Linked DNA regions of Xenopus tropicalis. The protein of the gene in region 2 interacts with the protein of the main gene of each other region in a pairwise test. Links are inferred from orthologs where the notes say so. Each region holds a gene or a part of one and is shown on either strand. Other genes may lie near its edges. The genes, in order: stap1, retreg3 and abhd16a.

Region 1 (10,644 bases), on a different chromosome or scaffold from region 2:
ATCACTTTTAAATGGGGACCTGTCACCCACTCATTAAAGCTGTATAATACCTGATAATGTCACTAACGTTTGGGCAGCTTGGATTCTCTTTTAGGCTAATGCCAGACAAGGCGTAGGGCGGATATTTTTGGCAGGTACCTCTCCTGCCTTCCCCCTAGTAAGCGTTCCGTAGTCAGTGCCCCTGTGGGTGGGGGTGCCCCCTCGCAAAGGCACTGTGTATAGACACGCACACACCAGGAGAGGGAAGGTACAGGGGCGAGGTGGGCAACTCAGTCAGCTTGGCCTGCCCCAGCATCCCCGCCAGGGGTGCAGGCACATGTAGCCGAGATATGCATAAAAACACAAGAAAATGCAGTGTCTCACATTTTTATGCAGATTTCGGCTACATGTGCCTGCACCCGAGCGTATTCCATTCATTGTGGTGCAGGCACAAGTAGGAGGCGTAAGGCGGTATTTTCGCTTGCCGAAAATATTCGCCCTACACTTCGTCTGCCATCAACCTAAAGGAGACATGTACCAGTGAATTATACTCTTCTAAATATAGAAGGATTGTGCGTAAAAAAGTTGTGTTTCAGACTGATTTTTGAGAGATTTTGCCAAAACCCCACTAGTCCCGCCCATCTGTTCCACTTCCCGCTGGAGGCTCTCAGTACACTGTGCTGTAAAGGTGCCCATACACGTTAAGATTTGCGAGCGGACCTTCACCCGATATCCCCACCTACAGGTGGGCGGTATCGAGGAGCGTGTAGGCTAATTCAATCGTTTGGCCCCAGGGCAATGGGGCAGTTGGTTTGGGGACCGCATCAACGAGCCGATGCAGTCCCCGATCCGACTAGATTTTCTAACCTGCCCAATAGAGATCTGGTCGATTTCAGGCCAGATATCGGTCGGGCAGGCCTGTTGGTAGTCCCCATACACGGGCCGATTAGCTTCCAAATCGGTCTAAGGGACCGATATCGGCAGCTAGAATCGGCCCGTGCATGGGGACCTTAAGATAGAAACCAATCAGCAGCTAGGCTGACCTGATATGGAACTGAAGCCTCTCTTTGCTTGGGTGAGTGCAAGGCTGTGATTGGCTATCCCCCTCCTACTGTGCTTCTGGCTGGGACCGGTAAGAAACGCCCACCCTTCATTTGAAACAGGGACAGACAGCTGATAGGATCTATAGGGAACGCCAATAAAGGGGTCATTTTTACAGATAGGATTCATTTTTAGCCCAAAGTGAAACCTGCACCATATATTATTCACAATTGCCTACAAAATTCGTTTTTTTTCTATTTATCCAATATGTGTCCTTTAAAGCTACCCCAGAAAATCACTCAGTAAGACCGCAAGCCTGTATCCCAGTGTAGTTTAAGAACACAACAGATCATGCTGACTAAATAGTTTGAAGGAAACAAAATTTTAATAATTGATATAGTGTAAGTAAAGTTTCTGTTGCTCAACTAACATGATAGAAAAGGATTTGGGATTATTTATTAGGGTGTCCCTTTAATTGTCATTTTAATTTCCCTTTAGCTATTTGTATTAGAGGTTTCACTGATCATCAACCAGAAAATTATGGAAACTTGATACAATTTGCCAGCAGTACCTGTCAAATTTCCCGTACTGGACCCTGGGATATATATTTATTCATGTTTTCATTGAACAATTAGGGCTTGAGGAGGCCTGACCGCTCCTCCCCTGACGCGTTAAATTTATGCACGGTCGGGGAGGATGCCGGGTGAGGGCCCTTGCAAGGGGGGGGTTTAGGGGACGTGGCCGGCGGGGGCACCTGCAGGGCCCCTGGGGTGGGAGCCCCGGTGGGCCCTGCACCCCCTAGTCCGACCCTGTCCCCACTATCAGTGCCTCTGGGCAATGTACCTAATGCTGTGTGCATAAATTGTTGTTCTTGGCATAAGTGTTCCCATAATTGGACAATATTTCACTTGCATCAAAAGTAACAGTAAGTAAACCTTAAAGTCTTTACCAGTTTACCAGTCTTTGTGGTTTTTTTTTGTTAGTTTTACTAAGCACTTAAAAAAATAACTATGTATATCCAAACTCATAAATATAATTAGAGTTACAATCATCACGATTTATTCTTTCAACATTTTTGTACTTTGCATCTAAAGTGCATTTCTGCATGCAATACTAACACTTAACTCTCTAAATACTGTCACTCTCTACCAAACTTTTTATAAGTACATTAGTGAAAAAGTCTGAGACTATCATCGTATGATGTATAGAAAATGATTTTTATGCATGCTTTTGTTATACCATCAACATGTTTATACATAGCTTATAAACTGTAAGAAAGAAGCCCAGTTGGGTTTTCTTGTAGAACTGCATATTATGAGAGAGGATGTAATTTTCCAGAAAATGTCTGAAATCAGACAAGATTAAATCATTCTATATACCACTTTTGTTAAATTATACACCAGTTGTGGGAGCATATATATTCATTCTAAATGTCATGCTGATTTTTTAAAAAGAGCTAAAGAGTTGTGCGTTTTATAAGTTGTATTAAAAAAGTGGAAGAGCTGAGCCCTGGTTTAACTGACACTCCAGGTCTTCATAATACGTTGGTTAATCTTTTTATTATGTTGATAAAAGAAAGCAAAGACATCTCTTCACAGATTATTAAAAAGCTTATTTTCTTTTCTTGACCTGCCAGACAAATAAGCACTTATTTACAAAAATAGGGCAAGATGCAAACCAATTGTGGCTAAAAAAATGTGTGCACTTGCATGTGCGCTTTGATGCAAATTGAACTAAATTCTGCTGAAAGTTTAGAAAGCCTGCATGTGCTAGAAAAACATTGGCATACCAAATTAGAGGAAAACTGTCATGGGAAAACATGTTTTTTTCAAAATGCATCAGTTACTAGAGCTTTTTTTCAGCAGCTACTGAAAATAAATGAATACGCCTAATCATGAAAATTTAATGCAATCAGTGAATTCACCATTTGATAAATAGGCCTCTAACAATCCCATAGGAATGAATATAGAGTGAGGAAATTTTACTGTGGTGAGCACTAATTTTACTCTTTGATAAATCTGCAGGGAGCTTGGCATCTGCCATTTAATAAATACCATATATAACTTCAGAAGAAGTGTTTCTCCTCCATTCTAATGTCAGCACCCTCCAGCACTTGGCATTAAGCATGGTGATAATAGGCTTTTTTGTTGCTGCTCACCCAAATGATGCCCCTTTCATATAACAGAAATTGTAAAGAAGTATTATTTGCATTTATTGTTAATCCCACCCCTCCCTCTACCTCTGTCTCTTCCCCGGGGTGAGGTTCTCTACAGCTTTTACATAACAAATAGGTGTTTATATTTATTGAACAAATAAGGAAACCTGTATAAAAATATAATCTCATGCATGATTTGTGTGTTTTCCCTTGTGGGAAAATCTCATCTATTTTCCTACTGTAATGATGACAGCTAGAGTTAAACCAGCAGAACTAGTATTTATTGCTGCCTGAGGTCATTGCATAGTATGTTGTTAGAGATGGAGTTTGATCCATCTAGGTTTCCTCCCCCTTACAGAGGTGAATGGGGAGGAGTATATTAAGCAAACAGCATTTTTTGGAGAATTATTTTTACTTTACTTCCTTCTTGCAGGTACACTGCAATTACTTCCCCATAGAAGTTTCTTTGCTGTTGTATATAAGAATTAAGATAGCTAAGAGACTCTTCACAATAGAGAATGGCAAGCCCAGCTGCTGCCTCTCGGCGTATCCATCAGATTAAGTTCAATTTAACTTCACTGCCACTATACTATGAAGGTAATCTATGGATCAGACGAGCCATGAAAAAGGTAATGTGAATTTCTTTTCTTTAATACAGTTTTTACTGCTTGAAGGAACTGCTAAACATGAAAACTCACATTAATAGCACAGTCTGAACACAGAGGAAAGTGAGGTGGTTGGCAAATATAGTACCATCACAATAATGGACATTTTAGCCAAGTGGTAAAATGTATTCAGTTTAAACATTATTTAAGTGACTAGATTATGATGATTATCACAGCTTAGTAAAATATAGATGACTTTCCTAAGCTTCTCCCAGAAGTAGTTCCATATACCTGTACTTGCATGGATAGTCTGAGGTGGCAACATACTGTCATTTTAGTGTTTAGTTAAAGAGGCAGTATAACCTCTTCAATATTAGTTCAATGAATAGAGCTTGTGCTGAACATATTTTTTTGCCTATAGTTTTAAAGGAGACCAAAACTTAACAAAGAAGTAGGGTATAAATACTACACTCTATGTTTTGGGGTTCTGTACCAGTCCAAGACAAGCAGAGATGATCTGTGCCCCTGAATATGTCCACAGTAGCCTCCCACCTTCCTTACTGCTGATTCTCAATGTTGCCACATGCTCCATGGTGCTGTTAGTAACCTGAGCTTAGGGAATAACATATACTGTATTTATAGAAAATAAATGTCACAATGCAAAAATGATTAGTAATTAATTCAGATTCTCATTACATAACAGATCCAAAACCAGCTTAATTTGCATCAGTCTAATAATCAGCCCTGCAGTATCAGCCTAAATGATAGGCGAACTTCATTATCTGCTTGTTTATTTGCTTCTCTTAGCTTCTCAACAGCTGCCCAGAGCACACCATGCATGTGTGCATGACACTCCTAACAAAATCCAAAATGGTGGGCTAATGCCACAAATTTGATGGTCTGAATCCTTACTGTTACCCAGTTGGACCTTGCGATGGTCAAGACTAGCACATGCACAGTAGAGTGAGGTTGGTTATTTCACTATATTGAGCATGCACTGGTCCTGAACATTTAAAACCAAATGAACTGTGCATGCATGTGGCAAGGGACAATTGAAAAAAGATGGTCAGGTGGCACTCCCTTTGAATGCACCCTTGGCTGATGTGTAGATCTGGGGTTAAAGGTTAGCAATTATATTTACAGGGGGGGGGGGTGATGCCTAACAATTTAGCACTCCTAAGAAATATGACTTTCCTTTTGGAAAGGTGCTAAGCTTCAGTTAGCCATCCTTTCACCCAGGGCTGTATTTAACATATAGGAATCCTGAAATGCGAAACGTTATATGGAAAGTCGTTCTTCAAAAAGCTTCCAGTTACAGGAATGCCATTTCCTCTTTTCTCTGTAATAATAAAATAGTACCTTGTACATGATCCCAACTAGGTGAAACCAAGCTGCACAAATCCATTGGTGAAAAACAATCCTATTGACTTTATTTAATGTTTTAATAATTTTCAAATAGACTTGTATGGTGATCCAAAATATGGAAAGACCCCTTATCAAGAAAACTACAGGTCCCAGTTATTCTGGATAACAGGTCGCATAACTGTATTTAAGAACTACCCAACACTGCATTGTTGCAAAGTTCTAGTGCAAAAGTACATTGTTTTAGCTTCAGTAATGAAAATGCTAGCCTCTTTTAATAGGTTTAGTTATTATTGTCAGTTTCTAAGATTTGTGGTTAATGGTTATAAAATTTATAGTGTGTGTTACTGACCTGTGAATTATCTAATGCTATATTTCTGGCTTGCCTAATGAAAGATTTACAGAGATACACCTGCTACATTCTACATACTTGTTTCAGTGAACGGCGCCGCCATCTTTAACAATGGATGCCCACTCCCTTTCCCTCTTGTCTCTACTGCACATGCATCGCCCAACATCCTCCAGCATCCTCTTTGCGGTCCCCCGCTCCCCCCTGCCTCCTTCTGTGTCTCCCCCCCCCCCAGCAGCTGCATCCTTCTGTGTCTCCCCCCAGCTCACACACCAACTCGTCCAGCTCAACTCATCGCCTCCCCCCCAGCACCTGCCTGTCAGCTGCATCCTCTTGTTATGGCCCCAGCTGCCGCTGCATCCACTTTTTAAAGGCGGCGGTCGCCATGGCAACCAGACGCTAGGGGGAGCGCTCCTGCTTGTGCTCCTCTCCTCTCCCCGCTCGCCTCTTCCTCCCCCCCAGCATCTGCCTGCCGTCTGCGTCCTCTTGATATGGCCCCACCTGCTGCTGCATCCACTTTTTATAAGGGTGGCGGTCGCCATGGCAACCAGACGCTAGGGGGAGTGCTCCTGCTTGTGCACATGCGCCGCCTACAGTCCTGGTTGCAGTGTCTGTGCAGGAGCATTGCATTAAGGGAATTTTCTCTACCCAGCTCAGCGTTTTTTCTTCCTGTTTGGCTTCTGATCATCTGAACTATTGAAATATGGGGAGACTTAAGGGCACTATTGAGACAACTAAAGGTATGCCTGAATTTTGAGATTAACTCATTACTAGCCTTTCCTCCTCCTTTAAAGGAGAAGGAAAGGCTAGTAAAGAGTTCTCAAGCTGCAGGCATACCTTCAGTTGTCTCAATAGTGCCCTTAAGTCTCCCCATTTTTCACCTGTTCACCTGAAGGAAGAAATAACGCTGAGCTGTGTAAAGAAAGTTTCCATAATGCCTCACTCCTGCAAAGACATGCAGACCAAGTGAACATGCTCAGTTAGTAAGACTCTGAGTCAGCTTCCTGCTGATTGGCTCAGATCCACATTCCTAAGGGGGGGAGTGAGTTCTTAGCATTCTTGAGGGAGGGGGGAACAGGAAAGAGCAGAGAACAGAAAGCTGCGTGTCTCTGGCACAGGAATTACAGACACAACTAATCTTTTTTCAGAGAAGTCAGTGCAGCGTTTCTGTGAGTGCTTATGGCTGTATTTATATAGACCTTTCTGATAAAGCTTACTTAGTTTTTACCTTTCTTTCTCCTTTAAGCGCCTCTTCTCCAGGGTAAAGAACCCCAACTTAGACAACCTTCTATTCCCTTTATCAGCTTAATATCTTTTCTTTGGACTTTATTTCATTAATATAAGGCTTGGAGACCAAAACTGCACTGCATATTCTAGAGCAGCATTATCAGCAATGTCCCTCTAAGCTGTGTGCTCTTGCGCGCACAAATTTTGACACCAGCACACACAAGAAACTATGGTGTGCCCAAGAAATTTACCATTAAAACCCAACATTTTGTACTGCACACACTAGTTTTTCAAAAGAGTGCACATGGGAAACATTGCTTTGTAAAGTGGAAAAATGACTCCCTCCTCCCAGGAATCTATACCCCTTTTAATACAGAATAAAACTTTCAGTGCAGAAACTACTGGGAGCACAAATATAGTAACCAGGGTTAATACTATATCAAGTGATAATGCTTATATTTTACACCACTGTCTGCATTGCATTCAATTTCTGCCCTGCAAGTGACACATTCATGCAGACTTACAACACAGCACTTAACTCCTGGCTATTAATATGTAATATAAGCTACAATAGCCCAATGCTGGGACATAACTGTTCAATTAGTTTGCTTTTGAATCTGACCTGTGTGCTCACAAACTAACTAAACAGTTATATCCCATGTGGCCCCCCTAAAGTCACTGACTAACTGAGAGGTTAGAGAGCTGAAAGCAGTAAGTAGTGTTTTGGCTATTATGTAAGACATCTGTCCTCTCCAGCCTTTATAAATTAAATTTTTGCCAAACTAAGTATATTGAAAATATGCCTCCCAGTCATTAACTCCACTCCCATACTCACCAAATTGTTCCTTTTTTGCCTCTCATTCATCCCATACTCTGGCATACCTTGCCCAGGTTGATTGAGACACAGACCATTTCACTAATTCTGCCACCTCCCAGCCCCCAAATCCCACAGTCACTTTGGACAAAGGAGTACCTCTTGGTCCGCTGCTGGTGCTATCTCTTGATACCAGCTCTACTGAAACTGAGAGCATCTGCAATGTTATTAGAAACACCCAGCACATGACTGGCCCTCACCCACTTATTGAGATGGACACATTTTAGCACTAGATACCTCAACAGCCGGAACCATCAGGGAGAGGAAGCAGAAATATTAGTTATCGCTTAAACTACCCCCATGTTGTCTGACCTAAAAAGCACCTGCCTGGTTTTCAATTCATGCTGTCACTCCACTGCCACTAAAATGGGAAATAGTTCTAAAAAGGTGACATTTTTCATAAGCCTAATTCCTTACATTCCTTAGGCCAGCCCCCCTGCACTCCATTGCCCTCAAAATAGGCTCTATAGCCAGCTGCTCCAGCTGCATCAGTTACATAGTTACATAGGGTTGAAAAAAGACCATTGTCCATCAAGTTCAACCCATCCGAGTAAACCCAGCACACAACCTATACTAACCAATCTATACACTCACATACATAAACTATATGTACAACCAGTAATACTAACTGTAGATATTAGTATCACAATAGCCTTGGATATTCTGCTTGTTCAAAAACTCATCCAGGCCCCTCTTAAAGGCATTAACAGAGTCTGCCATTACCACATCACTAGGAAGGGCATTCCACAGCCTCACTGCCCACACCGTGAAAAACCACCTACGCTGCTTCAAATGGAAACTCTGTTCCTCTAATCTATAGGGGTGACCTCTGGTGCGCTGATTGTTTTTATGGGAAAAAAGAACATCCCCCAACTGCCTATAATCCCCTCTAATGTACTTGTACAGAGTAATCATGTCCCCTCGCAAGCGCCTCTTTTCCAGAGAAAACAACCCCAACCTCGACAGTCTAACCTCATAGCTTAAATCTTCCATCCCCTTTACCAGTTTAGTTGCACGTCTCTGCACTCTCTCCAGCTCATTAATATCCTTCTTAAGGACTGGAGCCCAAAACTGCACTGCATACTCAAGGTGAGGCCTTACCAGGGACCTATAAAGAGGCAAAAATATGTTCTCATCCCTTGAGTCAATGCCCTTTTTTTATACAAGACAGCACTTTATTTGCTGTAGTAGCCACAGAATGACACTGCCTGGAATTAGACAACTTGTGATCTACACAATGCAAATGCAAGTCATAGTTGTCCCTTGGCTCCAACTGCCATAAAGATCTGCCATTAATCTGCTTAAAGAAGGAGCTCCTCACTGCCAGGTCTTCCTTCCCTTTGCCTAATCTCAAGTGGTGGGGCTGCCTAGCTCCTGATGTCAAAGACGCAAGCCTCCTGAAAAATATTCTGCCTAGTGGCATAACTCGACAGGCGAAGTTCAGCCTGGCTAACAGTGACTGAGTCTACATAAGAGTCAGCCTCTTGCCCACCCTGGCTTGCCAAAGTTGCCATACCAGGTCTATCATATATTAGGGAAGCCGGTATTCCATAAGCTCAGAGTCTAGCTCAATTCCTAGGAACTTAAACTGACCCCTTTCTTCCCCATGCTCCCTGTTAAACTAGCCTTACAGAAAGATTTTTGGCCACTCAAATTTCTCACCCAATAAACGCTGATCAGATTTTTAGGCCCTTAGGCTAACAAATATAAGGGCTTATAGAAACTCAGGAGGAAATTACCCTTTCAACTGTTTTTTTAAACCTGTCGTTCTGAATTTTGAAAATATATAGGATTAGTAAACTTTCACTCCAACTGGAATATTTATTGATAAATATACAATTAATTAATATAACAGTTTAAAGGAGAAGGAAAGTCATTTTGGCATTTTACTGCCAGTAGATTTGCCACATTAGTGCCACCTAGAACACTATATTTATTCTGCAGAAAGCTTTACCATACCTGTGTAAAGAGGCCTAGAAGCTCCCTCCGTTTGTTTAAGATAGCAGCTGCCATTTTAGCTTGGTCTTAGTAGCTTCCTGCTGAAGCTCTAGCCGTTGTAGCTAAGATCACCCATTCTGATGGGAGGGGGGAGTGAGTTTTATAAATTCTGATGAAAGGGATGAACAGGAAAAGAGAGAGAGCTGCGCAGACTTTGGCCCTGGGAATAAATAATTTTTATGAGAGAGGAAGTATGATACAGAAGAACATGTTTACAAAAAAGGAGACAAGAAATCATGTGTTTCGTTTGATAGAGGACTCAGTGCAGCTTTTCTGTGAGTGCTTATGGCTGTATTTACATAGACCTTTCTGATAAAGCTTACTTAGTTTTTACCTTTCCTTCTCCTTTAAAGATTTTTGTTTATTTAAGAAATATATTCATAAATGAACACTTTTCATCGTATTATTAATACGAAAAGAAATTAAATAAAAGAATATTTATTTTGTTCTGTAGGAAAACAAATACTGGAGTGAGCTACGTGGGACAAAGCTTTTCCTCTACACAGATAAACTGCAAGAAAAGGTATGGTGTATTTTATTAAATCAGATAAACTGATTATTTAACCCATGTTCACCTCAATAAAAAATATAGTTGAAGAAAAGCATTTGCCCAGACAAAGTTATTATTATAACAGGTATGGGATCTTTGAGCCGGGAACCCCTTATCCAGAGACCCTGAATTACAGTACTTCTCCCATAGACTCCATTTTAAGAAAATTATTTTATTTTTTTTAGTGATTGTACTTGTTCCTAACTAAACTGCATGAATTCATATTGGTGGCAAAACAATCATTTTGGGCTTATTTCATATTTAAATTAGATTTAAAGGAGAAGGAAAAGGCTACTAAAGAGTTAATCTCAAGCTGCAGACATACCTTCAGTTCTCTCAATAGTGCCCTTAAGTCTCCCCATATTTCACCTGTTCAGAAGATCTGAAGCCAAACATGAAGAAAAAATGCTGAGCTGTGTAAAGAAAGTTCCCATAATGCCTCACGCCTGCACAGACACCGAGACCAAACTGAACATGCTCAGTTAGTAAGACTATGGGGCTGAT
Region 2 (10,644 bases):
AAAAAAGATAGTTGAATAACCAAATTATTTTGCACTTTTTACATTTTCACCACAATGAAAAATGCATCAGCTGGGGGCACTGTTCCGGCAGCACCCACATTATTCCTGTTGTCCCAGAGATCTGAACTGTCCCGATAACACACATGCACAGGAAAATAATAATTTCAACTTTAAAGTTGCAGTCCGGATTTTTACTCTGTGGGACATATGCAATGCTCAGGACACCCAAGCGAATCGGAAGGGCCATTGATGGCATTGCAAGGCAGGAATAGTACCCCTTGTAAGATTAGAGATTATTATTTAGTGGGGGTTGCAAAAACTCTAGCACCCCCGGTGAATATCACTTTGCTTTAGGCCCAGCTCTTTAGCAATATTTCTGGCAAGGTTATGGCAGTGCATAACTGGCACATGCATTAAGTTCAAAAAGGAAAGAAAATGAATTGAATCCCCCAAATTACAACAGAAGTTGTTCTTCCAATGCGACCTTAGATCTGTCAGACCCACCATATATGTCTGAAATACAAGGTTGATGACTCCTTATGTATATGATAGTTAACCCTTTGCACAAGATCAAATGCCCTCTGCAAAGTCTTCTACTGGTGCCCCCTTACTTTTGCAAAATACTTCAGCGTCAACTGCCGCTTTATCCCAACTATGAAGTTATATATTTTGCTTTTTACCAATCACGTTTCCTCCATGAAACAGAATGTTTACTGTTTCCTACTGCCACCTCATCTCCTTGAAACAGTATCCACATCACCTCTGTCTCTGCCACCTCATCACTTACAGTGTCAGCACTACATATACATACACTACATATACATACACTACATATACAGCCCCAGTCTCTCTCTGTGGGGCATTTACTTGATTTCTTTCACCTCCCCTCCATTTCAGTTGATCCAAAGCATTTCTGCCAGACTCTAACCTGGCAATCACAGCAGTCACACTAGTAGCCATGTATCTTCTCACTTATTAAAAAAGAACTCATGGGTTTTCTTTAAAATATTTAACATTTCTGGCAAGTACAGCTGCTTATTTTTCACAGATTCTCAGCCCTCGCTTAAAAAAAACCCTTTTCATACCTTAAGATAAAACCTCTTTTATTTTATTCTAAGCAGATGCCCTCTGTGAAAAAGGTACCAGACTGAATAGTTCTCTTATATGTGTATCTCTAACAGGGATTCATCACAAACATCTTTAAAACCGTAAAGGGCACCCATCGCCCTAAAACTGTTTCCCCACCAAAAAATAGCCGCTTACAGTGTTAGGCTGCCCGCACTGGGAGGGAGCTCCAGGTTTGGGGTAGCCATATTGTGGCACTTGCATGCCCATATCAAGGAAGTGCCACAACTCACTCATAATGCACATGCGTGTGATCCAGGTGGGCGAGTCGCATCCACTGCTTTGTGCATAAGGAGTGAGCAGGGTGTCTCACTTATCATGCACATGTGCACTAAATAACATGGCCTCTCGCACCGGGAGCTCCTGGCCTAGCACCAGCAGGGACTGATTTTTAAAAAAAAAAACAAAAAAACTATTGTCCCCCCCAACCCAAGTGCGGGTTCTATTAGCCTGCACCTCTGATGGGAAAAGCAAATCTAGGGTGATAGGTGCCCTTTAATTCCACTTCTCTGCACTCTTTGTATCTCAATAAATGGCCTCTTTGTTTAAGCGAAAACCATAATGCATTAACTACATGGAATTTAGAAACCCTGCTAAAGGTTTAAATATGTAAAACACTTATCCTATGAATCTTGTGTCTTCTGGAAAGATCTAATGGTGAAACAGAGATTTTATGAATTGCTCCCAATATATAGTTTTACATAGACATTAGATCCCTATTAAACACCTCCAATGTAAACGACTTCAATCTGTTCAGTCCTTCTTCACAAACAAGGCCCCGCTTAGGGCTCTGGTACACGTGGAGATTAGTCGCCCGCGGCAAAACTCCCTGCTCCCGGGCGACTAATCTCCCTGAGTTGCCTTCCCCCTGCCATCCCACCGGCGAACATGTAAGTCGCCGGCGGGATGGCAGACGCGGCGGGGCGATTTCGGGAAATCGCCGAAAAAGCCTTGCGAGTCTTTTTCGGCGATTTGCGCGAAATCGCGCCGCCGCGTCTGCCATCCCGCCGGCGACTTACATGTTCGCCGGTGGGATGGCAGGGGGAAGGCAACTCGGGGAGATTAGTCGCCCGCGAGCAGGGAGTTTTGCCGCGGGCGACTAATCTCCCCGTGTACCAGAGCCCTTACTCTTCAGCAGTAGTTTAAGTTGTTTTTCTTTGGACTTTGATCACTGGAAACCAAAACTGTACTGCATATTCTAGAGGTTTCCCAGTACTTTGTAAAAGGGAAGTATTATCCTCAGCAAAAAATTTTTTTTCGATATTTCCCTGTTTATCACTGATGAATAGATTAAAGTGGATTAATTACCAAATTCATGGATTATAGAATGATCTACTGGCATTAAATGTATATCCAGTGCTGCCCTAGGCACATCTCTCCAACCACCTCCTCCTCTACCTGACTAGCACATACACTTTACATCCTATGCATGTATTCCAGCTGCAGAGATACAGGGATAACCCCTCCCATTCTTTGCTGGATTTAGCTGCAAGTGTCCAGTGGCAGACAAGGGGGTCACATTTTTATTTTTCTATATAGGCACCAAGGAGGTACTTCTCCTTCAAATTTTCATTTTTGTAGGATGTAGGCATGACAATTTGCATTTGGTCTTCATTGTTTAGTTGTATTTTTTATGTTTTTGTAGTTTTTTTGTTTAACAGCTTTCCAGTATGGAATTTCACCAGTGATCTGGTTGCATTAAATCTACAGTGCCCGTATATAAAGACCAAAGTGTCTACTACATAGACTTTTCCCGTCTGATCCATGCATGCCTTGCCATGTTAAAAAAAAAGACTGCTGGCAGAGAAGGGTTAAAATGTAGAGCTCTGTGTATATAAGTACAGCTATATAAATATATTGATGGAGAGCAGCAGGAGTCAAAACACCCTTGTCTACCCGTCACTGTTTCTAATACTATGGAATAACACACATGGAGCAGTAAAGCCATATAATAATCCTGCCTGGCAAAGACCACTGATGTCTGTTGGGTCTCCATATTCTTGTTGTAAGATCTGATCACTATCCCTTGATTTGTCCCAGTGCGTGGGAAGAGATCCACTTGTTTTGCAAGACAGATCTTATCAACTATGGCTAGCTTAATGGGCAGATCTTGGTGCCAAAATGCTTAAATGAGTGTTTTTGTGCTGTTATCTGCATGTCACCCCTCCATTTGTATCCAAAAGGGAGACAGACCACTCTTTTTTGACCCAAAAAATCATGTTTCTTTCAGAAGAGAATATGCTTTCCACCACTCAAAAGTAGCTCAATATTCTCTGGAAATATTATAATACATTTGTTTTTTTATCTTTTCTTTCCAGGTCAGTGAGAGTTAGGGTGAAGACACATGGAGCTACTAGTAGCAACTACTTGTTGTGGCTACTAAAATAGACAATGCTGATCATATACTGATAATTGTCTCTATGTGTGTTTTAGCAGAGGCAACTCTCAGTATTGTCAGGGTATTTTCTGGCGTTTAGTAGCCGTGAAAAAGTAGCTGCTACTATTAGCTCTGTGTGTCTTCACCCTTAAGGGCTCTGGTACACGGGGAGATTACTAATCTCCCCGAGTTGCCTTCCTCCTGCCATCCCACCGGCGAACATGTAAGTCGCCGGCGGGATGGCAGACGCGGCGGGGGGGCGATTTCGGGAAATCGCCGAAAAAGACTCGCAAAATCGCGCCGCCGCGTCTGAACCCTTTTTAAGCACAACTTTATTCACCTAGTACACCAGAAATTATGATTTGTAACAATGACCATTTTTCTTATTTAAGATTTTGGCTAACATTTAATTTTGCACCCACTCGTTTCCCAGGACAGAAGCACCTCAGTAAGTGAAAATTGCCAGCTACCACTAATAGAAAGAAAAGAGCTACACTGAGAATGGACAAGAGAGTCAAGCAGCTGTCAAAATATTCTGCCCACCCAACCCCCAATGTGGCTTGATTCTTTCTAAAACTAGCAGGGAATGTACCACATGATTTTTTTTTCCCCAACATCAGTGCCCAACCTCACTAATGCTCTTGTGGCTGAATGGAAGGAAATCCAACCAACAATGTACTAACACCTTAGCGAAAAGTCTTCCTTGAGGAGCAGAGGGTAAAGGCTGTTGTCCCAGTGAAGGGAGGAACAACCACTTGGAATAAGATGCAGGTGCGAGATGCTTTTGGCTTTAGCGTATGAACAAGTAATACAAATGGTAACAATTTATGAAGTAGGCAACCTGGCTTACTGCTACTGGGAAACAACAGAAGAAAATAAACTTTAAATGGAAGGAAAGGAAAACTGCATATAAATAAATGAAAAACAAAGCAATTGTAAAGTCCTAATTTCTGGAAACAACTTAGAAGTTGAACCTTCCATTCTACTACAAATCTCATTTGCACATGGGGTACCCAGACTGCCAGTAGTTCTTTTTCATAGATCAATCAAGCATAGATGCAAAATACCCTTGCACTTGTGGCACGCTAAGCATTTTGCTCCCTGCTGCCTTTGGGTGCCAAACAGCGTTGCTCAAATACCCATCTGCCTTTTCATTATGAACATTACAAGAGGTGAATGGCAGTAAGAGATATTTTGACTGAAAGTCTTCTCAGCTGGAGGGCAGCAATGGTGGTCAGCACGTTCACGTGTCACAGGCCATTTGTCCAGGGTTTGATCGAGTGAGAGCACCGAGAGCAATGTTGCCGACTGTTACCCCTCCCCAAGGGAAGCCATATTGACAAATACAGTTACACATACTCACAACTGAGAACTCATGGGCCCTTGCAGATTTACACAGTTCTCAGATATCAAACACCTTGGGAAACGTGTAATAATATGGTTTTCAGTCCAGTGCCCAACAGCTCACCCTGCACTAACACATTTCTATCACTGCCACATGGACAGGATCCCTTATAAGAAATAAAAACCTTGCAGCAGTTGACAGGAAATCCGAGAGAATTATAAACACATGTGAAGGTCAGAGCCCCCTGCCCAAGATCCCTGCTAATGTTCAACTACAACTCCCAGCAAGTAATGGCTGACAAAGCAACATTCTGTGGCTGAGAGGTGACAGGGAGCCCGGGCTTGGCTAAACACGAACTGTAGATTCCTAGAATGCAAGTAAACACACACAGATTTGCGGCCGGATGAAGGGTATGGCGGATACAGGACACCTGCATTCTATGCTATAGTCACATGACAGAGCCAAGAACGTTGCGGCTGTTCCTTATAGAGGGGTTCCCACACTAGCCCCGCCCCCAGGCGCTACATTAGGGGCCACATCTCACCAGAAAGCGGCATTGAGTGCCAGATGGAGCAGCGCGCTGTGCCGGGGTCTCTCCCACACCAGTACGGCCTGCACGTAGCTCAGCACCGGCTCGTAGCTGCTCAGGCCCCGCTGTAACATCTCCTGCACCTCCCGGACCTGCTCGTCTCTCTCCCTGGCCTCCACACACCGCGCTCCGCTTCTCCTTCTCCTCAGCCCGGAGGCTCCCTGTTCCTCCTCCCCCACTCTTTGCGCCATCTTCTGCCTCTCCCGGCTCTCACCAAGATGCCGCCATTGACATCAACCAGTTGCTGCCTAACAAATAAAAATAAGAGTTGTATGAGGGGGAACAGGTGCCACCTAGCGCCCAGCACCGCGCCGAGAACAGGGGCTGACCGCGGCCAAATGCCAAGTACTCAGAGGCTGCCCCTGTCTGTCTCACCTCTCCGCCTACTGCGCCTGCGCACAGCCGTCACCTGTCATTTACCATATCCGCCTTTGTTGTTTATGTTCTGGGCCATTACGTCATTCGCTTTGGCCCAATTACCAGTCGCAAAGGCCACGCCCTTTATTACTTTACTTTACTCGGTGTTAGGTGACGTCAAGAAGACTTTTTTCCCCCCCACTACTTTACTGTTTGTCTCCGCCTCAGACATGGCTGCTGGCTGCGCCTAATTGCGTCTGCGCCGCTCGCTAGTGTGAGAGCGGGAGGGGAGGCGGGAAGCAGTGTTCCTCTCAGGCTGCATCATGCCGCGGGAGATCATCACTCTGCAGCTCGGCCAGTGTGGGAACCAGAGTAAGCTGATTAGATTTATAGTTTAGTATGGTACCTTCCATCTGTCATGTTAATGCATCCTTGCGCTTCTATGTGCATAGGAGGTGGGTTGCAGTATTGGCTATACAGGCCTGGCGTTATTGTGTGTGTGAGAGGGTTTTATATATTTATTTATATTTGTTTTATAATATCAGTTAAAGGAACATGTGGTATTATGATCTGTACAGAAAGAGTGTCTGTGCATCACCTGATGCGCTATATGTGGCGTTATAGTCTGTCAGAGACAGCGGCTGTGCCTCACCTGATGCGCTATATGTGGCATTATAGCCTGTCAGACAGCGGCTGTGCCTCACCTGATGCGCTATATGTGGCATTATAGCCTGTCAGACAGCGGCTGTGCCTCACCTGATGCGCTATATGTGGCATTATAGCCTGTCAGACAGCGGCTGTGCGTCACCTGATGCGCTATATGTGGCATTATAGCCTGTCAGACAGCGGCTGTGCGTCACCTGATGCGCTATATGTGGCATTATAGCCTGTCAGACAGCGGCTGTGCGTCACCTGATGCGCTATATGTGGCATTATAGCCTGTCAGACAGCGGCTGTGCGTCACCTGATGCGCTATATGTGGCATTATAGCCTGTCAGACAGCGGCTGTGCGTCACCTGATGCGCTATATGTGGCATTATAGCCTGTCAGACAGCGGCTGTGCGTCACCTGATGCGCTATATGTGGCATTATAGCCTGTCAGACAGCGGCTAGTGCGTCACCTGATGCGCTATATGTGGCATTATAGCCTGTCAGACAGCGGCTGTGCGTCACCTGATGCGCTATATGTGGCATTATAGCTTGTCATCAGAGACAGCGGCTGTGCGTCACCTGATGCGCTATATGTGGCATTATAGCCTGTCAGAGACAGCGGCTGTGCATCACCTGATGCGCTATATGTGGCATTATAGCCTGTCAGAGACAGCGGCTGTGCGTCACCTGATGCGCTATATGTGGCATTATAGCCTGTCAGAGACAGCGGCTGTGCGTCACCTGATGCGCTATATGTGGCATTATAGTCTGTCAGAGACAGTGGCTGTGCTTCAGCTAGGCAGAATTTAATGGAATTTATTAGCTGATGCTTTTTAGGGCAGGGGTACACGGGGAGATTAGTCGCGGGCGTAAATGTAAATCGCCAGTGGGATGAAGTTTCCTCTGAAGACAACTTCGGGCGACTGCGGGACATCGCAGCGACACGTATGCCATCCCACTGGCGATTTCCATTCTAGCCGGTGGGATGGCATTACGGGGAGATTAGTCGCCCGCAACAACAGAGATTTGTCGCGGTGCGACTAATCTCCCCGTGTACCCCTGCCCTTAAGGTGAAGAGACACAGCTACTAGTAGCCGGTACTTGTCATGGCTACTAAAATAGACAATGCTGATCATATATTGATAATTGTCTCTACATGTGTTTTAGCAAAGGCAATTCTCAGTACTGTCTATGGCAGGGTATTTTCTGGAGTCTATTAGCCGTGAAAAGTAGCTGCTACTAGTAGCTCAGTTTGTCTTCACCCTTAGGTGTGCTCAAACCTGCATCTCAAATGCTTGTTAAACTCGCAGAAGTACCAACAATAGGATCCATCCAGCATGTGTCATGTATAAGACATTATATAAAGAGATTATGTAAACAAGCTGGTTCTTGTAACGCTGTTTTTTTTTATATATATAACATGTTCACATGTAAAAACTGCCTTATGTTTGTCTAATTAACAATTCACATATTTTTGGTTCTTAACAATTTCTTGTTTTGTTTGTTCTTGTCAGTTGGATTTGAGTTCTGGAAGCAGCTGTGCGCAGAACATGGCATCAGCCCTGAAGGTATTGTGGAAGAGTTTGCAACTGAAGGTACCGACAGGAAAGATGTATTCTTTTATCAGGTGAGCATCATACAACGTTGCTAAAATCAATTGTTTGAATGAAATGCTGCCTGCAAGCCAGTCCTTAAAGAGTAAGTAAACCTTTTTTTTTCTATGAGTAAAATTATTCTAAACAGCCCCCAGAATTACCTTTGTCCCAGCATTCAAAAAACGGCTAATGCACAGACTGGCTCCTGCTGCCTCCAGGCATGCGCAGAAGGATCTCCACTCCAACAACCTTGTCGAATTGAAGAGAGAACTGAACAGGAAGTGGGGGCGGGGCATCACTCTGCACAAGGAAGCAACCAAAAAGTATACCTTCTGACTGAGGAAACAGGTCAGAGAGAATGCTGGGACAAAGGTAAGTAATTCTGGAGGCTGTTTAGAGTAATTTTACTCATAGAAAAAAAAGGTTTACTTATTCTTTAAATATAATTCCTATCCTTACTAATGCTCCCGTGGGTGGAAGCAAATCCCACGAGCAAGTAAAAAAAAATAAAAAAATTCTGTAGCAGCAAAGAAAGAACCAGGCACTTTTGGCACATCTGCTTCATCTTCTAAAGGGATGTTCACCTTAAAGGTAACTTTTATCTAGTTAACAACTATGAATAAAATGTTATAACATATTCCAGTCACACATTCTTAGAGCATACATCTTGCAGAACATATGGGGGTTGTAGTTCAGAAGTTGGAATATCAATGTTAAAGGTCTGTGTGGGTAAACTGGGAGTTGTAGTTTTGCAACAACCTAATAAATTCTCCTTAGTGCAAAGTTTCTGTATTATGTGTTCTGATAATCTCTTGAACCCAATCGTGGTTATACATGAAATATAAACTAGACAACTTTGTTTCGGTACTGGAATTAGCCTGATCACTTTGGTCATATTGTATTTGTTAGCCATTATGTAGTGCTGACACCGCACTATACATTGTTCATCATTCGCTACGCATCCAGTCTATTTTGCCAAGTGTTCACTTCCCATTTTAATGATTGATTCTATGTGCTTAGGAACCCAAAAAGAAGCAATTGCTTTTTGCCACTGACTGTGTATATAAGAAATTTTTTTTTGCTGTGTGTGTGTGATATACGTCTTCTGTATTTGTAAAAATGCATAGCAACAGTGCCTTGCTGTTCTGTGCTTATTCCCTACCCAGCAGCTCCGTAGATACTAAACTGTGAACTAAAAATGGCAGAAGCACTGGCTTTCATTTGACTTTATTTTTTGTTTTGTAGGCTGATGATGAGCATTACATTCCTAGAGCTGTTCTTCTGGACTTAGAACCGAGGGTCATCCACTCAATACTTAATTCTCCATATGCCAACCTGTACAACCCTGAGAACATTTATCTGTCTGAACATGGAGGTGGTGCCGGAAACAACTGGGCTAGTGGTTTCTCGCAGGTAAAGAAATTTTGTGGGGAAGTTTAGGAAAGCTTTAGAAGCAATGGTGCTTGGGTGCTTCTGAAGTAGCAATCAAGCAAAGCAGAGTCTGGCCAAGTACACCCAAAGCAATACTACTCTGGCCTATACTCACTTTCCTGACGGAATGTCCTCATTTCTGACCATAATGCAAGGAAATATCAAATGGTATCTGGGTGGATCTTCTTTATCAAACCATGGTGTTTATACCTCTTCTGTTCTCATGGGCTCTGTAGGGTGAAAAAATCCATGAAGATATCTTTGACATTATTGATCGAGAAGCTGATGGCAGTGACAGTCTGGAGGTAAAGAACATACTCAATTTGTTGTCTAGCAGCAAGTGGTTTTGAAGAAAACTCTACATGAATCATCTTAGCACAATATATAGAGTAGATATTTATATAATATGCGATCACAGGTATGGGACCTGCTATCCAAAATGCTTGGGACTTTTGGTTTTTCGGAAAAGGGATCTCGGCACACCAAATCACATCAATATCTTGTTTTTATCCAAGTCCGATTTAACGTTTCGGTCCCTACTTGGACCCTTATTAAGGAAAGAATAAAGGTCCAGGAGGGATTGAAACATTGGATCGCACGGTGAATAAAAACAAGATATTGATGTGATTTCGTGTGCTGGTCCTTTTTATAGGAGTGTGTGTGTATATAATCACAAAATCATAATTTTTTTAAGCAGAGTTAATGTCTGGTAATCTAAATTATGTAAAGATCCATTATCTGGGAAACCCCAGGTCCCAAGCATTCTGTATAATAGATCCTATACCTGTACATATTTTATATATTCTGTAAATTAGTTACTGGGTTTTGTTTCTGGTTGTAAATGTACTTCTTTGTCTTTCCTGCAAGAGGGACTGAGCATCAATACAGTGAATTCTGTTGTACATATTACTAATTTACATTTTGTGTCAGTAATGAGGTATGTTGAGACAACCCTAATGTGTGTGTCAATTAAGTCGGCAAAGCAGTGCTCCTACTAAAATGTTATCCACAATTCATTCTAATCATTTGCCCAATTTTTGCCTTTTAACAGGGATTTGTGCTTTGCCATTCAATAGCAGGTGGGACAGGATCTGGATTAGGGTCTTACCTTTTGGAGAGATTAAATGACAGGTGAGGAGTAATTTGAGATTCATAACTATAACTTTGTAGGCCT
Region 3 (10,590 bases), on a different chromosome or scaffold from region 2:
GCAAGGTGAGGTTCTTCCAGTATTTGCACCTGATACCCGCTTGGGTAAGTTAACAGAGGGTTGAGCTCCCCAATACTGCTATTGCAACAATACATTAACAGGCACAGTTGAAGAATAAAACAGGAGTAAGTTAGCTTGTTTGTGGGAATTTTCAAACAAAGGATATATTTATATTAATGTTTACCATATGATTTAGATTTCTAGCCTTATTTAACATGCCCCATATGGAGGGCATGGAAAGTGAGCTCCAAAATATTTGCATAAAGTCAAAGGCACGGTTATGGAGACTGGCTGCATCAGGGTCACATTGGCCCACTGGGATATCAAGGAAAACCCTTGTGGCCCTGGTGGGCCCTTGGCAGCTTTGGACATGCAAGTTGCACATGCACTGGTTGCCTCTGCTCTCCCAGTACATATCAGATGTCAATTGGCACACACAGGCAATGCAGCAGCCAGCCAGACCCTCATGTCACAAAGTAGGCTGGCCTTCAACATCCTGAAAGATTCACTAGTTGGGCAAAATGCTTAAAGAGTAGAGCCCCTGTGAGCATGGAATCATATGGATCATTGTTAAAAAAAAAAACACCTCCACCCAGAATACCAAAAGACAGCATCTGAAATCTGATAGACCTGCAGATCTCTGGACGCTGACATCCTACGTATGTACTCCTTTAAAGCGGACCTGTCACCCAGACATAAAAAGCTGTATAATAAAAGTCCTTTTCAAATTAAACATGAAACCCAAACTCATTTTTTTATTAACACATCCATACCCATTATAAAAGCATTTAAAAATCCCAACTGTCAATCATATATTCTCTGGCCCACCTCTGTGCCTAAGGCAAAGAGGCGGGGCAGACACTTACTTTCACTTCAAATTCAGAAATTCTTATATGTTGCTGCACTCCTCTCATTCCCCCTCCCTCCTAACCATCTAATTTTGTAACCATTGCACCGGCATGAGCATCAGGTCCCCCATACTGGCACAGAAACCAGATTTTGGCAAGATACAAAGCTTACCTTAATAGCAGTGTCCACAAAATGGCACCTACCTATTTGATATGACTATGTAATTCCAGGACTGAAGGAAACAAGATTTACATTACTTATATAATGTAAGTGAAGTTTATTTTGCTTAACAAACACAATAAAAAATAATTTCAAATTATTTCTTAGGGTGACAGGTCCTCTTTAATGAATAGAATAGATTTGTTTGTGCAACTAACCGTGGGGAAATTTGCATGACTGTAACTGTGCTAGTTATCATAAATGACTTGTAATGAATACTTCACCCCTTTCTTGTAGCTGCCTTGGCTAAAAGATACTGTAAGCAAAAGTGCATTATGTGTGGTTTTATCTGTGTCCTGGTAATTTATTTATCTATATTAAATGGGAAGTTGGAAACATGGAGAAACCTCAGTCTGTTTGTCCTGTTTAGCTCAAGAAATAATAAAAATCATAGGGGGTTGTGTAATAAAAGGCACTAACTTTGCCCAGGAGTAGTAACCTATAGCAACCAATCAGCAAGTAGAATTTACTGGTCACCTGTTTAAAAGCAAACATCTTATTTATTGCTATGGGTTACTGATACTGGGCAAATGTAGTGCCTTTTAGTACTTCTTTATTCTGCAGAAGTCCTATTTATTTAACTCATGCTAATAAAAAAGGTACAGTACCCCTTCATTTTTGACTGATTTGCTTTTTGACAATATGATACTCATTTTTTCATCATTTGGTTGTCCAAACACAGATTAATGAACATTAATACATCTGCCCCTTTATGATTCAAAATCTTTAGATGTCCAATATGACTGGAAAGTTTTAATTAGTTGAGCAGTCTTAGAACAGATGGAGAAATAAAGACCTCTCCCTCCCACATCTCCAGCACTGGTCATTGGGACTCTTCCCCATACTGGCTAGTATGTTTGGGGTCAGATATATCTGATGTATAACTTATCCCTGGGACACAAGGAATGGAAACTACCTTAGGGGGTTGACTGGAATAGAAAGTCTAGGATACAGTTACTCATACGTGACATTGTCAACCCCCAATCTCAGAGGAAAAAGCATGGTGTTATTGATAATACTTGAGGTGATGTTGCATACATACTTTCCTTGGAGGAGGGCCAATACGGTAAAGGTTTTTCATGAATGTTGGCCTCTCCTATGCCAAAGTCAGCAAGGTTTCAAAAATGTGGAAAGGAGGAGTTTCCGTACAACAGTTGAAAGATGGCAGGTATGGGGAAAAGTAATTGTGGTAAGATCCTTTAAGTCTTTACATACATGAGCCATATCTTTAATTGTGCCCAGTTCCACAGCCAAGATGAGTGTTTTGGGTTGTCAAAGTCTGGCATCACCACCCCATATGCACTACATACTGCAGTGTGATATAGTATATCCACAGGGCTCAAATCCAAGACCTCCAGCATATATTGGGGCAGTGAGTTTTTCCCAGGAAAATTTGGGACTCATTCACTGAGATTAAGGGCATGACCATTTGAATATAACTAAATATGGATTTGAGGAGAATATAAAATAATTTTGGGGAGGAAAATAATTTGTAAATGATAAATCTTCCGCAAAGTGGGAGTCGCAACCATTTCCGCAGCACTATTTCCACTTTATGGTGCAGAGTTAGAGCCTCTCTTAAAGGAACAGTAACACCAAAAAATGAAAGAGCTTTAAAGTAATAAAAATATAATGCACTGTTGCCCTGCGCTGGTAAAACTGGGTCCTCCGGGAGAAAAGCGCATTACAAATGTTTGTTGTTGTAAAACTGGTGTGTTTGCTACAGTAACACTACTATAATTTATATAATAAGCTGCTGTGTAGCCAGGGGGGCAGCCATTCAAGCTGGAAAAAAGGAGAAAAGGCACAGGTTACATAGCAGATAACAGATAAGCTCTGGAGAATACAATAGTGTTTTATCTGTTATCTACTATGTGCCTTTTCTCCTTTGAATGGCTGCCCCCATGGCTACATAGCAGCTTATTTATATAAATTATAGTAGACTTTCTGAAGTAAACACACAACTTTTACCAGTGCAGGGCAGCAGCACATTATATTTTAGTTACTTTTATACACTTTCATTTTTTGGTGTTACTGTTCCTTTAACCCCCTTGGCAACAAGCCAAGGGTGCTGTCACATCTTTCATGTGATGCAACCTACTCCTAAACAGCAGACACAACAGGACCACGTCTGCTGTTTGGAAGGCCCTATTCAGCCCCCTGCTGTAAAGACTTTGCAATCCTAAATGCAGAAAATTTCAATATTTTTAGATGATTTTTAGAAGTATCATAAATCCAATGACTTTAGCATAGCTTTTTTAGCTTGATAGTTTGGAGTATAACAATATCTTGACCCATTTTGAATGTCAGAATGTGCACTTTTCAAAAATATATGGGTTTTAGGGGTACTGCCTGTGTATTATGTGTTATAAGAACCCCCTTCTTATAACACACAATACACAGGCAGTAGAAGATGAATTAGCAGCTGAGAAAATCCACATGCACTCTTTTAAATTTAGGGTCACCATGCCACATACTATGGTAAGTCTATGCACATTGAGCATCAAACTGTTCAATAGACCCTTGACGTTTATATTTAGGATGTTTTATCTTTATACGTAAGAAACTGTGCAATATAAATTTGGCAAATTGCAATATTTTTTAGGCAATTTTCAGATATGTCATAAAATCCACTGCCTTTAGCAATGCCTCGCAGCTTGGTAGTTTCAAGTTTTAAAAAACTCTTTATTCATTTTGGATTTGTCAGAATGTGTACTTTCTGAAAATATATGAGGTCCACATACTCTTAGGGGCTTTTAGAAAATGTAAAATGCAGCAGCCAAATTGTTAACCATGAAATTTCTTACGTATAATTTTCATTTTTGAATGCCTCCAAACCACACACATTTGCCATCAAATTCTTAGTATAAACAAAAGCTCTAAGGCATTTTTCAAAAATTTCATTAAAACCGCTAACTTTAGCAAAGCTTTGCAGTTTGATAGTGTGGAGTACATAGAGAATCCCACATGGGTAAGTACCCCATTTCATTTCTTTTTTGGAAAAAAAGGTAGGTTGGTGTAGAGAAAGTATGCTATTCTTAGATGAATAATCCGGTTTCCATGCCATCATCTCTAATGATAAAGGTGGCTGACCATACAAAAGTAAGGAAAGTACAGAAGGAAAGCGCAAACCACTTGGAGGTGCCAAATGTTACTATGGTAGGAACAGCTACCCACTGCCTTTACCGAAAATGACTAAGGTTGCCAGTCAGCTTTGGGCCTTATGCCCCTGGCTCCCAGAACATTCAACCCTGGTACTATATGTGCTGGAGAACCATGTGCTCCCTCTCCTGGTACAAACTAGGTACAGGAACTGGCCCCACCATCCCTGAGCCAAATAACTCCCACACGGGTAATAGTTAACATGCTGGTACTTCTGTCTTGAGAAGTAAGAAAATAATGTATTTGCGTCCCCTACAGTCACACCATGAAAAATGAGTAGAGAATTCGTACAGAATACAATACGTACGACCAACCAATAAAAGTAAATGCTTTTACAAGCCTGGAACAAGTATTAACTTATCAGATACAATATCTAGCATGATATAGAAGCTAGTACATTTCCTTGCTTCCTATCTCTAAGCGACACTAATAAAAGCCCCGCCTTCTCAAGGACACGCCTTTGCATGTATTTTGTCGAATCGGCTTCCCTTCCTTATTAGTGGAGTCCCGCCCATCTGTCGCTGGACTTTACCGTTTCACAGGCTTCTTGTCAGCTGATTGGACGAGCGCCTAGAAGCACAACATATTCATTCTCCTGCCGGTGACCCTCATAACGTGAGCTGCTAGTTGCTTGAGGGAGTCACATAAAGTGCTGATATCGCTGGAATGGCGGCTGCTGGGGGGCCGGTGGGGGATGGCTTAATTCGGAGATGTGTAAGGGGAATGGCCCTGCTGTATCTGTGTGTGAAGGGCCCACGGCTCTACCGAGTGTATCGGCAAAACGGAAGGACGGCGGCGATTAGAGGACGGGGCCAGGAGGAGGAAGAGCCCGGGGTTTCCTGGGTGAGGGAATATGAGATGTATTCCTCCATGTTGTTTAGGTAGACCTTTCAATAGGCAGGGCCACTTTAAATGAGAGTTGACATTGGGCCCATTACCTAACAATGAGCCTGTATAATGTTACGGTTCAGTTGTATCCTGCGCATACTGTATGTACCAGGTAGGGGCGCATGTGTACTTATTTCATTGGACTAATATAGAAACTTAGAAAGGTAGCGCAGTATTCAGGCACAGCCAGTCCCTGCAGAGCTGTCACCCAAACCATGTCATGTGGGAGATAATGAGCTGCTGCAGGCCTTTTTAACACCTTATTTCATTTTGTCATTTAGGGTCATATTTATTGAAGCGCGTAAAAGGATTTACGCCGTTTTTTCGTCGTTAAACGCGGTGTAAACCTAAACTTGCGTCATTAATTCCGACGTTCTTCAACCGCGTCTTTTCCCGCCGTTATTCGCCATCGCGGAAAATAGCCTGGCGATCTTATTCATTTCCGCGCGTACGCCAGCGGCGTAAGCAAATTTTATGCCGGTGGCGTACGCAAATTTTACGCTCATTTCAATGGGTGTAATTATCACGTTTTATATAAATTAAATTAATAACGCCGTTTTTAACCAACCAATGAAAACAACTTGCGGAAACTTTAATAAATAACGCCGTTTTTAACCAACCTATAAATGAAAACAATAGCTTGAAATAGAACACGCATGCGCTAAATTACATTCACGCTTTCGCTGTCATTTCCGTAAGAAAGAACTCCGTATACACTGCGGTTTTACGCAATGCAGAAATAGCAGCCAGTACCTAAGTACGCTGAATTTTACACCGTGAACGGCGGCGTAATTTTATGCGTTATAACGCCGTTTTTTAAATATGCCCCTTAGTGTGAAGAGATATTCAGGCCTAAAATAACGAAGGACTGGATCATTATCTCCCTCGTGATCTAGGGTTGGCTGACAGCTCTGGGTTTGGAGATGTGGTATTAGGATATTAAAGGGCTGGTTCACATTTAAGTTAACTTTTAATGTGTTATAAAATAGCCAGTTCCATGCATCTTTTCAGTTGGTCTTCATTTTTTATTGTTTATAGTTTCCGAAATTATGTACCACCTTCTGCCTCTTTCCAGCTTTCAAATGGGGCTCTCTGAGGCTACAATTTTATTTTTATCACTGCTTTTATTACTTATCTTTCTACTCAGCCCCTCTGATATTCATATAGCAGTCACTCTCTCAAACCACTCCCTGGTTACTAAGGTAAATTGGACCCTAGTAACCAGACAACTGCTGAAATTTCAAACTGGAGAGCTGTGGAACAAAAAGTAAAATAATAAAAAAAAACTAGCAGTAATAAAAAATGAAGACCAGTTGCAAGTTGTCTCAGAATAACACTATATATAAAACCAATATATATGCCTTATATATTGCTAGGATGCAAGGCTGATGGCCAGTTAGAGTGAAATTAGGCTAAAAAATTATTTGCTATTTACAACCTATTTTGATGTTATTTAAAGATTCATAATAAATTTCATTTGTAGTCATCTGCCCCAATGGGCTACTTGCATGGACCTTTACTTTGGGCTTGTTCTGTTACGGTATCCTTAGGAGGGAGGATAGGAACCGATTTGTACCTTGCAAATCCTCCATTTTTAATGGCCAGTTTAAAATACAAGGTTATACACATGGAGAATAGTCATTTGCATGGACACTGGGATGGCTCTAGTGACCACATAATACTTACAGTTTCAAGCTGAAGAGGAGTAGAATAGTTTGTATAGTAGAATAGGGTTTGTATAAAACTTTCATCATTACAAGTACTCTGTTTTACATTTAAAATATTTAACCTTTTAAAGAGGATATTAGTGTAGACCTGCAGTAAGCATCACTTTAGAGCTAAATGTTAGCTTTGGCTGGTTGTGTTCAAATCTGACTTTTAGTTATGTATTTGTAATAAATATTTTACTTGGCTGGGTTTAAGAATAAAGTTGAGATTATATTTTGCATTATTTTTTACTGTTAATAGCATATTGTCTTGTATTCCTTACCAATTATTGTTTCTTTAAAGGAGTCTTTTTATCAGCCACGAGCACTGGAGAAACACACAGATAGCATTTTAGCTTGGGTACGTATGGAATTCCTATTGCTGTAGTTGGTTATTGATAGGACTAGATAAAAACACTTTTACATTAAAATAATGGTATTTTATGCTGTTGGGTTTTTTCTATCCCCATTAGGTTTCAGTCTTGTGGACCATTTCCTATTATTCATCCCCTCTTGCTATCTGCTATATGTACAGAAAAGGTATGGAATCTTGTCAACATGCAATCAATACAGTAATTAATATAGTTTGTGTTGTGTTCGCTGCCATAAAGGTGAAAAATTATCCACAAACTTTCTTAGCGTACACATATGGAAGCTGTTATTTGATGATGTGATTATACAATTTGTAATGATGGTGTTACTATTTTGCTGCAGATTTCTACAGAACTGCCACAGACAAAAAAGGTGTTGACTAGCAAAATTGCACAGCTCTTGGTTTTGCTTGGGTATACTGGGACACCATAATGCTTTGGCAGTTATCAGTAATGTGATTTAAATGGGTACCTGGGGTCCAGTGTATTGGTGTTAAATACATTTTTATTTTTTTTTTATTTTTTTTAAAAAGTAGGAAAAAATAATTATTCCATACTGGATACCCCATAATTCTCCAGATAAACAACAACAACAACACAGCAGTGCAACACACAGAATATTTATTGGCTACAGATCAAATTAAAAAAATTCAGTAAAAAATGCATACCATACCAAATGACCATAGTCACTTCCTAGTGCCACATGGCCCCCATGCTCCGCCCTACTTATACGTTTCCCACCATTGGGGGCTTCATCAGAGATATAGTCTGATATAGTGCAAAATGCATGCATATGGAAACAGAGCATAGGGGCCATGAGGCACTAGCAAATATCTTTGGTTTCTTTGGTATTGTAACCAATAAATGTTCTGTGTGTAGCACTGCTATATTAGCTGCTTTAGCGCTAAATTACATACACTGGATGTCTTTTTTTCTGTCTTTAAGTTGATTAATAATGACAGCCAGTTATCCATCCAACAGCTTTTCAAACCATCCTTCAAACAACTAACCATTAACTCTTTCATTGTACAGTCACTGTGAGCTCAGACTGATGTGCATAATGTCCCAAAGTTAATGCAATGTGACATGGAGTTTTTCAGGGGCTTAACCTTTCAGTTGCTGAAAAAAATCCCTACTACAGACTAACATTGCAATTACCTGACAATTGGTTATATCAGCAATTGTCAGGAGATTGTTGCTTATAAAGGGTGCACAGCTACTTTTTCGAACAACTGTCACCTAATAAGCACTGGCAGAAGTGCCTGACTTGTGATTATAGTGTAAGTAAGTGGGGTGTTGTTTTGGGTGCTTTAACACTGTATTTATGCTTGTTTGTATGACTTTCCCAATATTTTCCTTCTTAATACTAATTTTAACCTATTCAGTTGTCTTAACTACTGATTATGCACTCATTTTTTTAATTCTATTGGTACTGCTTTCTTGACATGCCATCTCTTATGTTCAGCTCTTCTGCCTCCTTTTCTGTACTTCCAGTCTTCTGAAAAAACATGTGTATGTAGAATGTTATTTAACTTTTTTGTTTAATTTTTGTTATTTCCCTTTACAAAAATGCCTGATGTAGTTAGATCTGTGCTTTTGATATCTCTGTGCTGACAATCATCTTTTTGGGTTTCAGGTTATCTGAACATGTCCCGATTGGTTCCCCTTGGACAATATGGTCTGACATTTCTACTTCTGCTGGCAGGGGTTGTGTGCTTGAGAGGTAAGGAAAACTATAGGACAAAGCATGATTAAAAAACAGAGCTACGTGTACTTACTATTTTACACACTGCTTTATAAGAATGCTGATCCTGCATTAGCAATTAAATTCTTCCCTTTAATGATGTATAAGACACTTATAGCTAGTTATATATAGATTGGTGGGGTTTAGCAACTTCATTGCTAAGCCTCATGTTTAGTAGTTTTACTAAATTATGACAGTGGATCTTAGTTTGATTTTATCTGCTGATGACCTCTTTATGAGTATGCAGTTCAGATGTGATCTGGCCATCAACATAACTGGACTGATTACGCATAAGGTTCTCATGTGGCCAAATGGCCCCAGTCAGATGATGTGGAAAAATGCAACTTATCACTTTTTACATTGTACTGTCTTTCCCTGCAGGTATTGGCAGATGGAGCAACCCTCATTATATTCAGTTTATTTACATTTTAGAGAGAACCAAGATAGAAAACAACCCAGAGAACAAAGTAAGGTGCTAGAGCATGCCTGTGTTGCATAGGTGCTTTTTCTGCCTGTATGCCATTTAATTACAACTGTAATTTCCAAGTTCCAGGTGCTGTGTTTTTTTAAATATGTGATACATAAGTATTATGGTGTGTGTGATGGGTGGAGACTGCAACTAAAAAAATGGGTTTGCAGTATTAACATAAGTGCCTTGATATTTGAGTAAGCATATCTGAGAGATTATGGTTTATTGTTACATATTTTTAAGAGGGAGTGGCTAATTCCTAAACCTCATTTCAACATAACTTTTTTCATACATTCTCTCTTGTTCTGCCTATGAATTGTGCTTATTAGGTGACAGTTGTTTGAAAAAGCAGTTGTGCAGCTTTTCATGCAACAATGTCCTGACAAGTGCTGTTGGGGGATTTTTCAGCAACTGAAATATTAAGCCCCTGAAAAAGCTCCATGTCACATTGCAAAGATGAAGCAAGGCAGGCATTATACGTTCACTAAGTATGCTAAGATACCAGGAGGGAGCTTCTAGGGCTCTTTACTCGGGTACAGTGGCTTGCAAAAGTATTCGGCCCCCTTGAAATTTTTTACATTTTGTCACATTACAGCCACAAACATGAATCAAATTTATTGGAATTCCACGTGAAAGACCAATACAAAGTGGTGTACACGTGAGAAGTGGAACGAAAATCATACATGATTCCAAACATTTTTTACAAATAAATAACTGCAAAGTGGGGTGTGCGTAATTATTCAGCCCCCTTTGGTCTGAGTGCAGTCAGTTGCCCATAGACATTGCCTGATGAGTGCTAATGACAGTACAAATACAGCTGCTCTGTGACGGCCTCAGAGGTTGTCTAAGAGAATATTGGGAGCAACAACACCATGAAGTCCAAAGAACACACCAGACAGGTCAGGGATAAAGTTATTGAGAAATTTAAAGCAGGCTTAGGCTACAAAAAGATTTCCAAAGCCTTGAACATCCCACGGAGCACTGTTCAAGCGATCATTTAGAAATGAAAGGAGTATGGCACAACTGCAAACCTACCAAGACAAGGCCGTCCACCTAAACTCACAGGCCGAACAAGGAGAGCGTTGATCAGAAATGCAGCCAAGAGGCCCATGGTGACTCTGGACGAGCTGCAGAGATCTACAGCTCAGGTGGGGGAATCTGTCCATAGGACAACTATTAGTC

Evidence for each region.
Region 1: the proteins of retreg3 (region 2) and stap1 interact in binary tests that used the Homo sapiens proteins (3 or more experiments, as listed by UniProt). The two-hybrid records come from large-scale screens. The link is inferred for Xenopus tropicalis from reciprocal best matches to the Homo sapiens genes RETREG3 and STAP1.
Region 3: the proteins of retreg3 (region 2) and abhd16a interact in binary tests that used the Homo sapiens proteins (3 or more experiments, as listed by UniProt). The link is inferred for Xenopus tropicalis from reciprocal best matches to the Homo sapiens genes RETREG3 and ABHD16A.

Annotation. Positions count from the first base shown.
Region 1 is NC_030677.2:82,788,307-82,798,950, reverse strand, and holds the start of stap1 (signal-transducing adaptor protein 1), read left to right. Parts: upstream 1-3,566; 5' UTR 3,567-3,693; coding exon 3,694-3,804; intron 3,805-10,044; coding exon 10,045-10,113; intron 10,114-10,644. UniProt on the Homo sapiens protein: In BCR signaling, appears to function as a docking protein acting downstream of TEC and participates in a positive feedback loop by increasing the activity of TEC.
Region 2 is NC_030686.2:29,096,519-29,107,162, reverse strand, and holds the start of retreg3 (reticulophagy regulator 3), read right to left. Parts: upstream 5,808-10,644; 5' UTR 5,628-5,807; coding exon 5,392-5,627; intron 5,171-5,391; exon of another isoform or gene 4,880-5,170; coding exon of another isoform or gene 4,866-4,879; intron 1-4,865. Other genes in the region: tubg1 (tubulin gamma 1), read left to right, coding at 6,117-6,165, 7,959-8,071, 9,285-9,452, 9,707-9,775, 10,522-10,601. UniProt on the Homo sapiens protein: Endoplasmic reticulum (ER)-anchored autophagy regulator which exists in an inactive state under basal conditions but is activated following cellular stress.
Region 3 is NC_030684.2:74,868,602-74,879,191, forward strand, and holds the start of abhd16a (protein ABHD16A), read left to right. Parts: upstream 1-4,769; 5' UTR 4,770-4,896; coding exon 4,897-5,073; intron 5,074-7,128; coding exon 7,129-7,185; intron 7,186-7,297; coding exon 7,298-7,364; intron 7,365-8,831; coding exon 8,832-8,918; intron 8,919-9,320; coding exon 9,321-9,406; intron 9,407-10,590. UniProt on the Homo sapiens protein: Phosphatidylserine (PS) lipase that mediates the hydrolysis of phosphatidylserine to generate lysophosphatidylserine (LPS). LPS constitutes a class of signaling lipids that regulates immunological and neurological processes.